Linked DNA regions of Coturnix japonica. The protein of the gene in region 3 purifies or fractionates together with the protein of the main gene of each other region. This does not show direct contact. Links are inferred from orthologs where the notes say so. Each region holds a gene or a part of one and is shown on either strand. Other genes may lie near its edges.

Region 1 (4,865 bases), on a different chromosome or scaffold from region 3:
CCACACCGCCCCACTCCGCCCCACTCCGCCCCACATCTCCCCCCCTTTGCCCCACTCCGCCCCACTCCGCCCCCTCCTCACCCCTCACGGCCGCCGCCGGACTCAGCGCGGCCCGGGCGGGGGGCGCGGTGCTGCGCATGCGCACAACGGACCCCAAGCCCACCCCGGTGCGCGGAGGGGCGGCAGCGCTGCGGGGACAAGGGGATGGGGGGGGGGGTACGGGGATATGGGGGGAGATGGGGATATAGGGACCGGGAACTGGGATAATGGGTGGGGGTGTGGGGAATTGGATGGGAACCGGGACAGGGACGGGGGAAATGGGGTGAGGGGTGGGGGGACACTAAACATAGGGACAGGTTGGGGGCAGGGACACTGAGAATGGGAATAGGGATGTGAGGACATGGGATGGGATGGGGAAAGGGATGTACGGACATATGGGACAGGATGGGGATATGGGGACAGGGACATTGGGAATGGGATGGGGATATAGGGACACTGGGAATGGGGATGGGACATGGGGACACTGGGAATGGTATGGGACATGGGGACAGGGATGTGAAGACAGGTTGGGGATAGGAAGAGTGGGAACGAGATGGGGACAGGGACATCCAGACAATGGGAATGGGATGGGGACACAGGGACAGTGGGAACAGATATGGGGACAGGGACACTGGGAAGAGTATAAGGACAGGGACATGGGGACACGGCAGGGACAGGGACACTGGGAATGGGATCAGAATGGAGACATGGGAACAGGAACATGGGCAAAGGGACACTGGAAATAGAGATATGGGGACAGGTTGGGGTCAGGAGCACTGGGAATGGGGCTCACCCCATTGTTCAGCATATCATGACCCCAGTAGGGCTGTGAGTGGTGCACCAATGGGGCAACGTGGGGCCCCATCCCAGCTGATGGTCCCACTGCAGAGGGGCCCCCACTGCTATGACTGTGCACCTCATGGTCCTGCTGCCCCACTGCTGAGCCCCAATGAACTCAGGCCATGCACAGAGCCCTGCTCCCAGACCCCTATACTGCCATGCCTCAGTTTACCACTGCACCACCCCACGGGCAGGCAGACAGGGAGGAACCCCACAGCCCCCCACCCCACACATATTCCCCATTCCCATTGAATGACCGCATCCATGGAAAATTCCCACTCCGTGCGCATTGCCGGCTGCTGCAGGTCAATGTTTTCCAGCTGGGCTCCCACTGGGAGCAGCCCGTATGAGAACTGACTGCTTCCCACGCTGCCGGCCCCGTCCTGCACCCAATTGGGGTGTGCAGGGATATGGGGTGGGCAGATATGGGGCGATGATGGGGGGCTGCCCATAGGGCGACTCTGCACAGTCCCCAGAGCCAGAATCCAGGCCCAGAGCACAGGGCTGAAGGCAGAGCTGTGTTGGGAGGATGATGGATGTCACCCCCCCCCCTCCATTCTCCAGGGACATAGAGCTGATGTAATAGAGCTGAGCCCTCTGGACCCCCTGGAAATGCAGCAGCAGGACAAAGCCAAGTGAGAAAGGAACAGTCCTACATGACTTGTCTTGGTTGGGACATAGTGACAAAGACATAAAGCAGTGCTGGGATGGAGGAAATAGGGGCACTGCCCCCTCTGCCTTCTGCCAAAGGGATCAGACTGAGCTCCGGGTGTAAGTTTGCATTCAATGTTTAGCAGGATTCCAAAAACACGTACAAAAATAAAGGTAAAAATCCAGACTTGCCCCTTTTCCTGGGGAGGTTGGTAGGAACAGCCCCATCCCCAGCACTGCACCTAAGGGAAGGCAGAGCACCCACGGGCAGCATTACTAAAGGCAGGAGCTGACCCAGCAACCTCACACCCCAAGAGTCCAAACATTCAACTCAAGTTGATGCGTTGCAGCCCAGACCACATCTGTGTGCCTGCAGAGAGAGGAGCTAAAGGGAAAACAACCTCCTCACTGCACACAGGGCTCTGATAACACATAAAGCATCGGTGTGGGGCTGAGAATGTGGTGCACAAACACCCCAAGGGGTTTCTCCAGCCATACAAGAGCAACCTGAGGAGCCCTGAGAGGTGGGAAGCGCTGGGCCCACTGGGCTCCCTGGGCTCAGCAGGGATGTGTTCACATGGGGTAGTTGAGAACGACGTCTTGCTTGGCCAGCTCCAGCAACATGGGGTCATCGAAGAACTTGCTGATGCTCACGTCCTCGCTCAGGCCCTGCGGAGTAACCCAAATCTGTGTCATTCCACTGCATGCCACAACCCACACAGCCCTCCTGGCAGAGCTCCCGTGGATCCCAGACGTACCTTCCTGCGTCGGGTCTTAATCATGAACTCCCTGGCCAGATGTGGGGCCGGCTGAGGCTCCAGGGGGCGGATGACGATGCTTTTGTCCAAAGGGTCACCAGGCACAATCTGCAACAAGACCACGGCTGAGAACAACACTGGGAGCTCCAGGAGAGCCTGAGCTTCAAAGGGAAACATGCACGGGCCCCACGGACACCCCCAGGTGTGACAAAGCCCCAGTGTGGCATCTGTTCTCAGGTAGGGAGAAAGAGTCACATTGCCACCAATTCTGTGGGAAGTCACTCAGAGTGTGGCTCCAAAGCTTTTCCCTGAGAGCCAAAGCTGAAGGGTGGCAATCACAGCAGAACAGCAAGTCTAAGCCTTGAGCCCCCCGAGGTGCAGAGCTCAGTGCACCAAACAGCACCCAGCAGAGCACACCTTCCACTCAGGCACTGAGGGACCCTTGAGCTCAGCAAGCAGCATTCAGCACTTCTGCTAAGGGGAAATGCTGGGTGACAAGGAGCAAAGCCTCAGGCTTCTGGCAGCAGACACTTGGTGCACAAAGCCCCCACCAGCTCCAAATGCCCGCACTGGAGATCTCTGAGATGTTTGGGCTGCCCTGTGTAAGCTGCAGCACTGAGCACAGCCTGATCTGCCATCCCCTCCTTCCCAGTAGGACTCACCTGCCAGTGGTGGAAGACAGACAGTGAGAACGCCTGTCCCTGTGTGTGGGTCCTCAGGTCTGTCTCGAAGCCGAAGGAATCGATGGCGGGGATGAAGGCTTTGATGGTGTACAGAGGGGAGCCTGGGATCGGAGCGTCCTGTGTCACGTGGCCTCTGTCAGAAAGTCAAAACATTCCTTTTCCTACATGTCCCATTTTATTGCTCCTTTCCAACACTCCAACAGCCCCAGGCACAAAGCAAAGCACTGCATGTGGTGTTGGACATCCCCTCCCCACACAGCACAGCAGACAGATTTTGCCCTCTCCCCTCATTTCCACATCAGCCCCCCCTTCCAAGGGACTGTAGAGGTCTCTACCACCCAGGCAAGCAGCTGCTGCTTTGCACTGATGGCAGCTCACCTGCGCCGTGCCAGCACAGTGTACACGGCGGACACGCAGTCAGCTGGGGCCTGCACCTCCACAAAGTAGTAGGGCTCCATCAGACGAGGGGTGGCCTGGGGGCACAAAGGCAAACAGCAGATGAGCCTACAGCAGCATCAATGTGCTGCAGCACACACAGGATCAGAAGCTGCCAAACAGCTCAAACACAGCACCCAAGTGGGGATGAGAGGGTTCCTGCTGCCCCTCCAGTGCCTGAATGAACCCCAACAAACAGGAGCTCTGTGCTTTCCTCCTCCTGCCCACGTTGATGTGTTCCCTCTTCACATTCCCACCTTCCCCAGCAAGTCTAACACTTGCACAACAGGAGGCAGCAGATGCAGGCAGGCTTCCAGCCAGGCTGGAACGTGACCACTTGTTAAGCCTGTGTGCCAGCCTGAAAGGGCACTGCAAACAAGGCAGTTTAAACCACCATCCTTGTGGCAGATGCTGCAGCACACGTACAACCTGTGCTCACTGGAGCCTCTCAGCCATCACTGCACGAGGCTCAGTTTTTGCCATGCACACACAGTGCTCACCATCAGGAAAGCTGAGTACACAACCCTCCGTGCCGTCGGGATGATCTGACCTCCACCTCGGTGCAAAGGCTCCTGAGCAATCACTGCGTCCAGGATCTTAAACTTCACATTGCGGATCACTGAGGAAAGGAAGAAACAACAGCAAGTGATCTTAGCAGCTGCCCTTTGCCATAGCAGCACCAGCCATGCATCCCCAAAGACTCTGAGCACAGGGGTCGCAAAAGAGATAGAGCCATCAGAGAAAGTTCAGCCATCCACTTAAAGATGGTAGAATTCATTCATCAGCCCCATTCCTACACAGGTTCTACTTACATTCATCACAGAGAGGCCCTTCCCTGGTCCCCCACTGAAATCCCTGCACAATGCTGTCCTTCACGGAGCCCAGCAGCGCCTTGTCCACCTATGGACAGAGACAAGGCAGGATCAGATAGACCCCAGTGTTTAACAGTTGTTTATTAGATGAGCAGCCATGTTCTTCTGCACCCTCCTCACAGCTCTGAATCATCATCTTTAAGAGTTTGACATCTATAGTCAGAAGTGAAGAGTGCCTATTTTGGTAATCCTTAAAGACAGGCCGTTCAGTTCTGAGGGTGCTGGCCCAAACTGCGGACTGACAGTTCACCAGCTTTGATATGAGCATAGAGGAAGAAGCTCAATGTATCTGAGACATGACAAACCAACAAGCACTCCTACAGCATTAGAACCTTGCTGCAGGTCCTGGAAGGAACTGCCACCTCTGGACAGAACAGAATAAACATTTCATAGTTTCATAGTTTCATAGTTTCGTGCGGGTTGGAAGGGACCTTAGAGATCATCGAGTCCAGCCCCCGGGATTCGAGCCTCTGTGTAGCAGAGCGGCACTTCTACCACTTGCGCCACAGGGGGGATTCGAACCCCGGGCCCCAGTGTTGCAAGGCGGCGTCTTTAACCACTGCACCACCGGGGCACACAATATATTT
Region 2 (5,210 bases), on a different chromosome or scaffold from region 3:
GTACAGCATCAGACACTTAAAATGCAAACATCAACCAGCAGAAATGGTCCATGTTTTCAAAAATACTTAAAACGTATCCTGTAAAACCAAAGTAAGCCTATCTGAAAGCATGCTAAAATTCCATCTGAGGGGCACCAAGATGGTTTTCAAACCCAGCAGTAGAAAAGGACTCAATGTGAACATATTACTGTCCATGCTGCACTCCCAAACCCACCAGGAGAGCCTGAGGGCAGGCTGACATCCCTTGTTCTGAATCAAGGTAGAGCAGCAGATTTGCAGTTACTAGGAGACAGCTTGAGAGCTGCTACTTGCTCTGAGGCTCATTAGAGCTGCTGCAGCCAGCATCACGTGGTCGTGCTCAAGTGCAATGTCTCATCAGGGATGCAGCTACACACACCAAAATGAGTGTCTTTACTACATCAGGACGGGAACTTACTTGGCCACAGCCAACAGAACGTGTGGGTCGTGCTCACACTTCTTCAGGGCATCCACACTCTTGGTCTTCCGTTGTGGTCGCGCTTCAAGGAAAATTGCCTCTGACCACAGGATTCCTTAATCAAGTGAAGTAGAAAGATTTAGTGTGAATCAGAGATTAATCCTCCCCATCATCAGGCCAGCGCTCTATGAAGTGAGCAGCACTACTGTGCCCACCCCAGAAGTTATCCCTGCACCTCCACCTTGTCTCAAATCGCTCTTTCATCATGGATGCTTCATTCAATACTCTGAAATTTAGCAAAGGACCCTCAGTTCTGAATGTTTCTGTACCACAACAGCAGTGTGCACGAGCACAGAGCTTAAGCCTTTCCAATTAGACACCGCACACAGCAGAGGGGAACTCAGAAGCAGCAACAAGCTGGTCTGAATGGAAAGCTACAGTGGCAGGTGAAGTCCCACAAGGTGTAAAGTACACCACTTGGGAGCAGTTTCAAAGGTGCCAAAGAACACCACAGTATTATTGATGCTGGCTCTCCACACATATGACGAAGGACACGGTAGGGCCAGGAAAGCTGGGTTTAATCCCTAGTTCCTTTCACTGCCAAAAGCAAGAAAGGAAACATGCTCAGAGGAGCATGAAATCTTCAGTTTCTAACGCCAGTCAACCATACCTGTTGATCACTTCAAGGCAAAGCCTGAAAGCTTGGGTCTGCCAGGACTCTATCAAAGCACTCTCACTTCCCATAAACTGCACATGGGAATTAACACACTCAGATGACAGCAGTGACAGACTGCAGCAGAACTCTAGATTTGCTCTTTACATAGAGTCAAACCATTCTCACAGACCTCTATTTTCAGTCCTGCTGAGGACACAAACACTGATGTATTTCAGTTCATGATTTTATCCTTTGTGCCATCTATGTCAGCCACAAGCAATGGTAATCAGATCAGCAACTGATGGACGCGGGTCAGGTTTACACAATTGTAGGTGTCTAACAAACTCAATCCTGCAGGTTTTTCTTCCTGGTTTGTAAACTTTTAAGAGTTGGGAGTTATTTTATTTAAACAGAATCTGAGATCTTACTGCCTATTTCTATAGCAACAGGCAGAATCTGCAGAAGAGCCTGAGGTGGCAAACACAACAAGTGTTAGGTCCTTCATAAAATAAAGCTGGTATTACTTTGTTGGCCCACTCACAAAGCAAGCAGCTTGCAGTGAGTTGATCAAGCCATAAAAGTCACTTAACTCCCATTACTTCACTGGGGTGACTTAAGCAGTCATCAACTAAATACCTTTCAAAACCAGCCTGAAGGCAAACTAAAAAGACTTGCCCTGTGGTAGGTTACCACACTTTCTACTGAAGTGACATCTCTCCAAAGATGTCAACACGTTCAAAGAATTAAAGCCTTCCCACAATTCTGTCAAAAAGGAAAAAAAAGAAAGGAAACTTCCATTTTCTCCTCCCATCCCAAGAGGCAAATGTTTCCACTGCTGGTTAGAACCAACCAACTTCGTTAAGGAAAGGCAAATAGAGCTTATATGATGAGCTAAAATAATCAAAACCCATTAGTAGTGCAATCAGTGTGGGCAAACCAACAACAGGAAGTCTCCTATGGTCAATTATACCCCAATGAGACAGGGGAAAAAACATCCTTTTTCCACCAAACTCCCTAATTACAAAAGCTTGAGAGTCTTTCTTCAGTTTTAAACCTTGGCACAGACTTCTACCAGCCTCAGAGAAAAGCCACCCATGTCCATGATTATTTTGCATGAAACCTCTTGACAAACTGTGGACCACAAAATCGATGATGCCAACACCAACCCATGTTCCCTTCAGTGTGAAGCACTACAAAGTAACCAGGATCATTCACAAAGCCCCCCCCAACCCTCCCTTTGCAGGAGAATGGCTGTCACTTCTCTAAAATGCATTATTCTGAGACATGGCCAGAAAGGCCATCTTGGATAAAGATAATCCTTTACTAACTGAGCAAACACATAACCAGGTTTAAGATCAAAATGACACCCAGCTCACCTGAATTAGGGCATTCTTGCAAGGCCTTGGCCATCAGAGTATTTGCAATGTTCTTCAGCCCAGCTCTGTACTCCAGTCGCACAGACTCTAACCTGGTAATAAAGAAACCCAGTGATGATATTTATTGTAACACATTCACTCTGTAACACAAATCAACTCTGAGTCACATGAAAGTCACTGGAAATTACAAACATGCCCATATGAACACATGCACCTTACTGACTTCTTCCCATTCCTCCCCATTAAAAAACACATTTTGCAATGGCCTAGTCCATTTCTCATATCATTTTTAACCTATGATAGAAACAAAAGACCCCTTGATTTTCATGTTCTCTACACTGCAACTATCTGTAAAGAAACAACAGGTCCCCAGCTCCTCAGAGTAGCCACACAGCAGCCAGAATCTCCAGAGCCCTTCTTCAGAAGAAGTGCTAGGATAGGTGTGCTCATAAGTTCTGTGATCAAATAACTGAGGTGTGAGATACCTCATGCATGCATCGATCTTGCAGCTCAAACTAAGTTCACGTCTACACAACTCACCAGAGATCCGCATTCTTTGGATTCTTTAGGCGAGACTTTTCCAAGATAGCCCTTGCTCTGGTCAACTGTCCCACCTTCTCTTCCAGTCTGGACAGCAAAAGCCACAGAGGGATGGAATGGGGACACTTTTTCAGCTGTTTAATATGATAACAAAAGGTACGGTTACTATGCAGATCTGAAAACATTATAACCCCCATAGAAAAGGAATCCCTTCCTTGAATCTTTCTGAGGAGTTCAGAAGTGAGATAAGTGACCACATCTCTCAGATTTCTCCTAGTTAATCATATAGCACTAAAACAGTAGAAATCTAGTTTCTCCTATAACCAAAACACCAAGAACACCACTATGACTAAACTTCCTCAATGCCAAGCAAAAAGAAAGAATACACCTCCCTTAACAGTACATCTATGACCTGTGCTCCATCTAGAGATGGAGAGCTCTAATAAATAACAAAATCACACCTGCAGAGTACGCAGGAAACGCATTGCCCTTGAAGCTCACAAAGTCATTAGGATACAGACACCGGCAGAAACCTGCTTCCCTATTACTTGCAGGGCAGATGAGTTTCAGGAGCATTCCTACAGGACGCCAATTACCATTTAGAAGACACATGAGTACTCAGCAGACAATCTCCTTTTACAGTGTTTACCTAACCTTATTAGCAGGGTCTTCTGTTAAGAAGTTCTGCTGTTTAGTCGTTGCAGGTCTTAGAGAATTATTGTGTAATGACTTCATTCCTGCTAGTGAGTAGTCAAGCATACAGCAAACTCTCTCAAGCAAGAAAGCGAATTCTGCACACACACACCAGCTAAGAGATAAATTCTCACTGCTTATTTCAACACCCTAATAATTTTCTCTTACTGTTTTAACCAATGACAGGGAGAGAAATCACCTCCACTGTTAATATGGGACAGAGCCCTCTCCATCCTGATTTGAAGACAGACATCTGTCCATATCACAAGCACAAAGCAAGCTTACAATAACATGCATCTTACCCCTTGATTGTAAGCCTCCCTTGCTTTCTCTACCAGCTCCTTTTGTTCCTCGATTTGTCCTTTCATCATCCACAGTTTGGGAAAGTCCTCATAGTGTTTCAGGGCTTCCTCACAAAGCTCCTGTGCCGCAGCAATGTTTCCCAGCACCCATTCCAACTTCACAGACTTCATGAAGACCTGACAAAGAGACGGAGCCGTTTATCACTGGGGAAGAAACAAAAGCAACAAAAACAAGAACTCTGCCAATGCAGTGGGTTCCCATGTCTGTGCATACATTGGGAAGTTATTCATGAGCCTTAGTTTGGAGCAGAAGGCTCCATGACTGACAGGAGAAGAGGACAATCTAAAAGGTCCAAATCTCCACACAGCAAACCAGGTTTTTTCCTCTTACTTGGTCAAATCGAAACGATTCTGTATGCACAGCTAAATATTGACAACATTTATCACAGCAGAAGTAACCGTAGAGATAAACACAAGACTGTAACTTTAAATAAATCCGATGAGCACCGTCTTTAGCACAGCATAATTGAGTCTTCTGCAAAAAATATTTTCACTCTCTCTTCTCCAAGACACGCTTTTATGCAACATGAACATTATACAAACAGCTGTAAACTGGGAATTTCCTGACTTTTGCCATTTGTGTGAAAAAATGTGAAACCCTTCACTTGATCCCAGCCTCTGTTCCCATCATGCTGCAACCGAGTGTTGCAATTTGCTGGAGAAGTGCTACGGTGCCTGCAAAAGGCAATGGCAGGGAGCCATCTGGTCAATCACTTGAGGCCACAGAACTGAAGGAGCTCCTGCTTACGACTCAGCTCCCCCATTGCTATGAGAAGCCTTGGCCTCTCCACCCTTCACACATCCCTACCCTTGCAGTGGGGGCACTGCTGCGAGCTTTTGCCAGCAGCCTCCTCGCTCTTTCATATTCATTGTTTTCCGACTCGAGCTTGACGGCAGCCAGCCAGATCTCCTCGCTGTTGGGGTTGGCCTGCAAGAACACAAAATGACAGACAAATGCATACAGTGAATCAACAGCAGATTTAATCCTTCGTTTGATCCAGATTAAAATTGAAGTCAGAGCTCTGTCAATCCACATTAGGACTTCTTTTCCCATTCAAGCTCCTCCCAAACTTCTTTGACCTTTGAAGTTCATAGAAATTCTACGAAACAGATGCGCAACACAAAGATGTGTTTCAGTTGAAAAGTTG
Region 3 (5,210 bases):
ACTGCTCTCTATCTTTTGAAAGTACTTGTAGAGGACATGGCTTGGGTTTGGCATAGGAATTGAGCAGTAAATAAGACAGATAGCGGACTAACGGGAGGTATAAGTGCGCAATACTGTTGTATGCTATTACCAAATACTGGCAGTGCTGAACCATAACCTGAAGCATTGGTTTCACCTGCGTGATTTGTTTTGTTGATGTATTTGCTCCATCTTCATAAGCTAGTAGTTCTTTTTTGCAGTCATAGCTGTCTGTCTGTGCCAAACTACACCCACTCTTACAACTTCATTACGTTGCTTGTGCATTTCTAATTCTCCAAAAGCAGATAATTAAATACCAGTTAGCTTCTATCACAAAAGAGGCCATCAAACTAACCTGAATTTAAGGGCTGCTGTGAATTGCTGATACTGATGGGTAGTTTTTATCTCTTTTGCAGGGCTGAGGATGCTAACGCATCTGAGAAGAGTACAAATGAAGAGAATGGGGAAGTGTCAGAAGCAGATCAACCTCAGAACAAGCACAGCCGGCACAAAAAAAAGAAACACAAACACCGAAGTAAACACAAGAAACATAAACATTCTTCAGAGGAAGATAAGGACAAAAAACATAAACACAGACACAAACATAAGAAACATAAACGGAAAGAGGTAGCCGATACCTCCGACAAGGAAGATGGACCAGCAAAAAGAACTAAAATTGATTTTTTAGCTCCTCTGGAAGATTTGGAGAAACAAAGGGCTTTATTGAAAGCTGAACTTGAAAATGAGTTAATGGAAGGCAAAGTCCAGTCCGGTATGGGATTAATATTACAAGGTTATGAGTCGGGATCTGAAGAAGAGGGGGAAATTAATGAAAAGGCGCGAAATGGAACCAGACCCGCGGCTAAGTCAAACACTAAGGGGAAATTAGAACCTGTGGAAAATAAAGCTAGTTCCAAAAAAGGAAATAAGAGTGAATCAAAAGAAAGGACTAGGCACAGATCTGACAAAAAGAAAAGCAAGGTAGCAGTTGATGGAATCAAAGAGAAAACAACTAGAAGCAAGTCAAAAGAGAGGAGAAAATCCAAAAGCCCCTGTAAAAGAAGTAAGTCTCAAGATCAGACGAGGAAATCAAGATCTCCGATGCTTAAAAGAAGATCTCAGGAGAAAAATAGGAAATCTAAATCTCCCCCAGAAGACAGAAATAAGGCTGACGATAAGAGTAAATCAAGGGATCGCAGGAAGTCTCCAGTTGTAAATGAAAGCAAAAGTCGAGATCGCGGCAGAAAATCCAAATCTCCAGCAGAACTCAGAAGCAAATCCAAAGATAGACGATCGCGGTCCAAAGATAGAAAATCTAGGCGATCAGAGACTGACAAAGATAAAAAGCCAATTAAATCTCCTTCTAAAGATGCTTCTTCAGGGAAAGAAAACAGGTCCCCCAGAAGACCTGGCCGAAGCCCAAAAGGAAGAAGCTTGTCTCCTAAGCCACGTGAAAAGTCAAGAAGAAGCAGATCCCCTCTCTTTAATGATCGTAGATCTAAACAGAGTAAATCCCCTTCTCGGACCCGATCTCCAGCTAGGAGGCTGAGGAGTAGATCCGCAGAAAGGAAAAGAAGAGAATCGGAAAGGAGGCGTCTTTCATCTCCCAGGTAACTTAAAAGTGTCATGAGCCATTGCAAGGATGTGCTATGGGATGAACCATCTTCTAGCCTGGTGTTTCTCTTTCATTCTGAGAAGAGCTATGTATTGTATGATGAGTTTCTGTTACACATAGTCATCATTCAAAAATACTAACCCCAGCTGTCAGACACACAAAGTCAGCTTTGCTGTTGGTTGTTCTCACCAGTATTGGGAACAACTTCTGTAGCTCAGGTTCTGCTTTTTGTTGTTGCGTTGAATTCGGATTTCAGCTTCTGTTTTGGTTCCAAAGTTAGTAGTAACGTTGTTTTCAGGAATTCCTGAGAAGGGAGAACCTTATTCCCTCTCCTCTTAAACGTCAGTGTTGGCATCTCCCCGCACACCTACTGAAAAATGAAAGTGTGAATGGTGTAAATTAGACTTTAAGATATGCTTCTTAGTTATTTTTTGTCTCTTTGATTTGCTGGAGTTATGGTAGCGTTACTGGTCTGTTTTGATAGCGAGCCCAAACTTGTATATCATTGCCATATTTTGTATATGCATAAATGAGGGAGGAAGGGTTCAGTCTTCTTAACGTACTTTTGTCATTTGTTTTAAAAGGCAGTTTAGGCTTTGAAAGCAGTGACTTTGAGATTTAATATGAGCCATCAGACAGCAGCGTCTTTGAATCTGGTAATGCCTGGATTGCAAGCTCCTGTTCAGGGAACAGTACAGTTGTATACACTTCTGGATGTTAACCCATTAAACCTGAAGTGTCCAAACTTTAGGCTTCCCTGGGCTGCATTACGTGATAAGGTATTGTCTTGGATATAAAATATATGGTATTATTAATGTATCAGAATGGTTTGGGGGCAGTGGCTGCAATTCTTAGTGAGCTCTCGAGGAGTTCACCAGAGATTTTTATTGAAATTTTACTCCTCCTGTACTTCTTCCTTGAAAACAGTTGCTCACAAATGTACATGCTTGCCAAAGTTGATGCCGTGAATAAGGCATGATTGTGAAGTGAGGGATATCAGGCTGGATATTAGAAAGTATTACTTCTCAGAGAGGGTGGTCAGGCACTGGAATGGACTGCACAGGGAGGTGGTGGAGTCACCGACCCTGGGGGTGTTCAAGGAGAGACTGGGTGTTGTGCTGAGGGACATGATTTACGGGGAGCTATTGGTAATAGGTGAATGGTTGGACTGGATGATCTTTTTAGGTCTTTTCCAACCTTGGTGATTCTATGATTCTATGATATTTCTCTCGGGTAGTAGAGGGCTTTTTAAAGGAAGATTTGTTGAGATGACAGACTTTTTTCAATTCCACCAGTTTATCTGTAAAGCATTCCTTGATATGCACTGAATTTGGCCGTACATTTTTGCATATAATGTCTTATTAAATTGAAAAGTCTGAAAACTGATGCAATTTCCTTACTAATTAAGCATAGTGCTATTTGCCAAGATGCTTGAGCACATGTAACGTGTAATACCTGAGGGTTTCACTTCCATTGAGTGTGTTTGATGAGCAGGAGAGGTGGAATCAGCACTACGGTGCGCTTTCCCCTGGCTCCAGCCCAGGCAGTTCCAATCACACACCACTATGTGGTTGTTGCAGCAATGGGTGAGTGCCCAGGGCCGGACCGAGCTACCCATATACTGTTGACAAGCAGCACTGCAGGTACTTTGGAAAATGGCCCTTGTGGTGTTAACCAGATGAAGCAAGTATTGCAAATGGCACCAATTTATTCAACTAGTTCCTGGTGAATGAGCACTCCACTGTGTGTCTTTGACGTATTTCTTGCCTGTCTTAGTTTCACTTTTCATTTCTAGTGAAATTGCATTTCAGTGCAGGCTGTTACATTGCAGCCAGTTTGAATTAGTTGTCTAAACACTACTGCAAGTGAGGCACATGTCTAGAATTTTGCTACGAAGTTGATAGAAGAGTAACTTCAGTTAATAATAAATAAATAAATAAAACTTCAGTTTTATTTGCTACACTGTTGAGTGGAGGACTGCTGAGAAATATTTTCTACTGGAATCCAAGAAGGCCTTCTTGAACCAGTGTTCCCACATTGGAGTTTTAACTGCCTATAACTATCCGGGCTGCCAGGTAACTTCAGGAGCTCCAGTGAGCGTTTTCAACCACAGGTTGAAGGACACGGGGAAATGGTTTTAAGTTGAAAGAGGGAAGATTTAGGTTGGATGTTAGGGGGAAGTTCTTCACTAGGAGAGTGGTTAGGCCCTGGAACAGGCTGCCCAGGGAGGTTGTGGATGCCCCGTCCTTGGAGGTGTTCAAGACCAGGTTGGACGGGGCCCTGGGCAACCTGATCTAGTAAATGTGTATGTTTGGTGGCCCTGCCAGGCAGGGGGGTTGGAAATACATGATCCTTGAGGTCCCTTCCAACCCGGGTCATTCTGTGATTCTGTGATTCCCAGGAATTTGATTTTTCATCTTTGCTTGCAGTGTCCCACTTGTGTAAGATACTCCTTAGTTCTCTGACTTCAGTATGGTACTGTGCAACGTTACTTAGGACTTCTTAATCACCTTCCACTTCCTATCACATGCATGCAATCCCTGAACAGATTGGGGTTCTTTTCGCACCTGTTCTGATCGGCATTTTAATGTCGGTTCATTAAGGATTTTTTTTCCCTTAAAAAATTATGCATCTGTATAGACAAGAGTGACAATGGAATCAAGTGTTGGTTGTTGTTTTAATTTGAGAAGTGTTAATTGAGAATGGTTGTTTTTAGCTGCAGTACTACAGTATGTGGGATGCTGAAGCATTCACTTCTATTGGCCAGATTGGAAAACACATGGAAGTTGTCATCATGGAATAGTTTTGCCCTAAATTTAACCTCCGTGTTGCTGAGAAAAAATCAAGAATTTGGTTTTAGGTTTTATTCATTGAATATTGCTTGTGATGAACACGATTTTAGGAGGAATTAGAGGTTTTGTTCTCAGCTCGCTCCTTATTTTACTGTGGTTCTTTCTTCATTTTAAGAACGCGAACCAGAGATGATATTTTGTCTAGACGGGAAAGATCAAAAGATATCAGCCCACCCAGCAGATGGTCTCCATCCCGGAGAAGGTCTCGGTCACCCATTAGGAGGAGGTCGCGGTCACCCCTTCGACGTAGCCGATCTCCACGAAGGAGGAGTAGGTCCCCGCGAAGGAGGTAAAGACAACACGTGGGTTTTGTTGTTCATTTTATAGGATACAAAGAGTCACATGGTACCCTATGTGTAAAAATATAATGCATTTCTCAGTCCCTACTTATATATAAGTTGGCATAGTTGGATTAATTTTGTCCTCCATTAATTCATTTGTTGTATTCCTTGGAGTTGCTGTGTATCTTTGTTCTACAAACAGATTTTCCTCCTTTTCTTTTAAAAAAACAAGAAAATAAAAAGCAAAACAAACAAACAAACAAACAAATCCCTCTTCCTCTTACCAGGGATAGAGGCCGAAGAAGTAGATCTCGCCTTCGAAGGAGGTCCAGGTCACGTGGTGGTCACAGACGTAGGAGTAGGAGCAAAGTTAAAGAAGACAAATTTAAAGGTAGTCTTTCTGAGGGCATGAAAGTGGAACAAGAGTCTTCATCTGATGAAAAG

The links.
Region 1: the proteins of PRPF4B (region 3) and EFTUD2 purify together in Homo sapiens (affinity purification with mass spectrometry; 3 studies listed by BioGRID and IntAct, with this or other methods). This does not show direct contact. The link is inferred for Coturnix japonica from reciprocal best matches to the Homo sapiens genes PRP4K and EFTUD2.
Region 2: the proteins of PRPF4B (region 3) and PRPF6 purify together in Homo sapiens (affinity purification with mass spectrometry; 3 studies listed by BioGRID and IntAct, with this or other methods). This does not show direct contact. The link is inferred for Coturnix japonica from reciprocal best matches to the Homo sapiens genes PRP4K and PRPF6.

The regions. Positions count from the first base shown.
Region 1 is NC_029542.1:761,497-766,361, forward strand, and holds the end of EFTUD2 (116 kDa U5 small nuclear ribonucleoprotein component), read right to left. Parts: intron 4,307-4,865; coding exon 4,219-4,306; intron 4,026-4,218; coding exon 3,907-4,025; intron 3,445-3,906; coding exon 3,350-3,444; intron 3,105-3,349; coding exon 2,951-3,104; intron 2,397-2,950; coding exon 2,289-2,396; intron 2,200-2,288; coding exon 2,104-2,199; 3' UTR 1,644-2,103; downstream 1-1,643. UniProt on the Homo sapiens protein: Required for pre-mRNA splicing as component of the spliceosome, including pre-catalytic, catalytic and post-catalytic spliceosomal complexes. Component of the U5 snRNP and the U4/U6-U5 tri-snRNP complex, a building block of the spliceosome.
Region 2 is NC_029535.1:8,470,835-8,476,044, forward strand, and holds part of PRPF6 (pre-mRNA-processing factor 6), read right to left. Parts: intron 4,991-5,210; coding exon 4,871-4,990; intron 4,180-4,870; coding exon 4,003-4,179; intron 3,142-4,002; coding exon 3,008-3,141; intron 2,560-3,007; coding exon 2,468-2,559; intron 552-2,467; coding exon 437-551; intron 1-436. UniProt on the Homo sapiens protein: Involved in pre-mRNA splicing as component of the U4/U6-U5 tri-snRNP complex, one of the building blocks of the spliceosome.
Region 3 is NC_029517.1:63,507,732-63,512,941, forward strand, and holds part of PRPF4B (serine/threonine-protein kinase PRP4 homolog), read left to right. Parts: intron 1-434; coding exon 435-1,628; intron 1,629-4,600; coding exon 4,601-4,774; intron 4,775-5,053; coding exon 5,054-5,209; intron 5,210-5,210. UniProt on the Homo sapiens protein: Serine/threonine kinase involved in spliceosomal assembly as well as mitosis and signaling regulation. Connects chromatin mediated regulation of transcription and pre-mRNA splicing.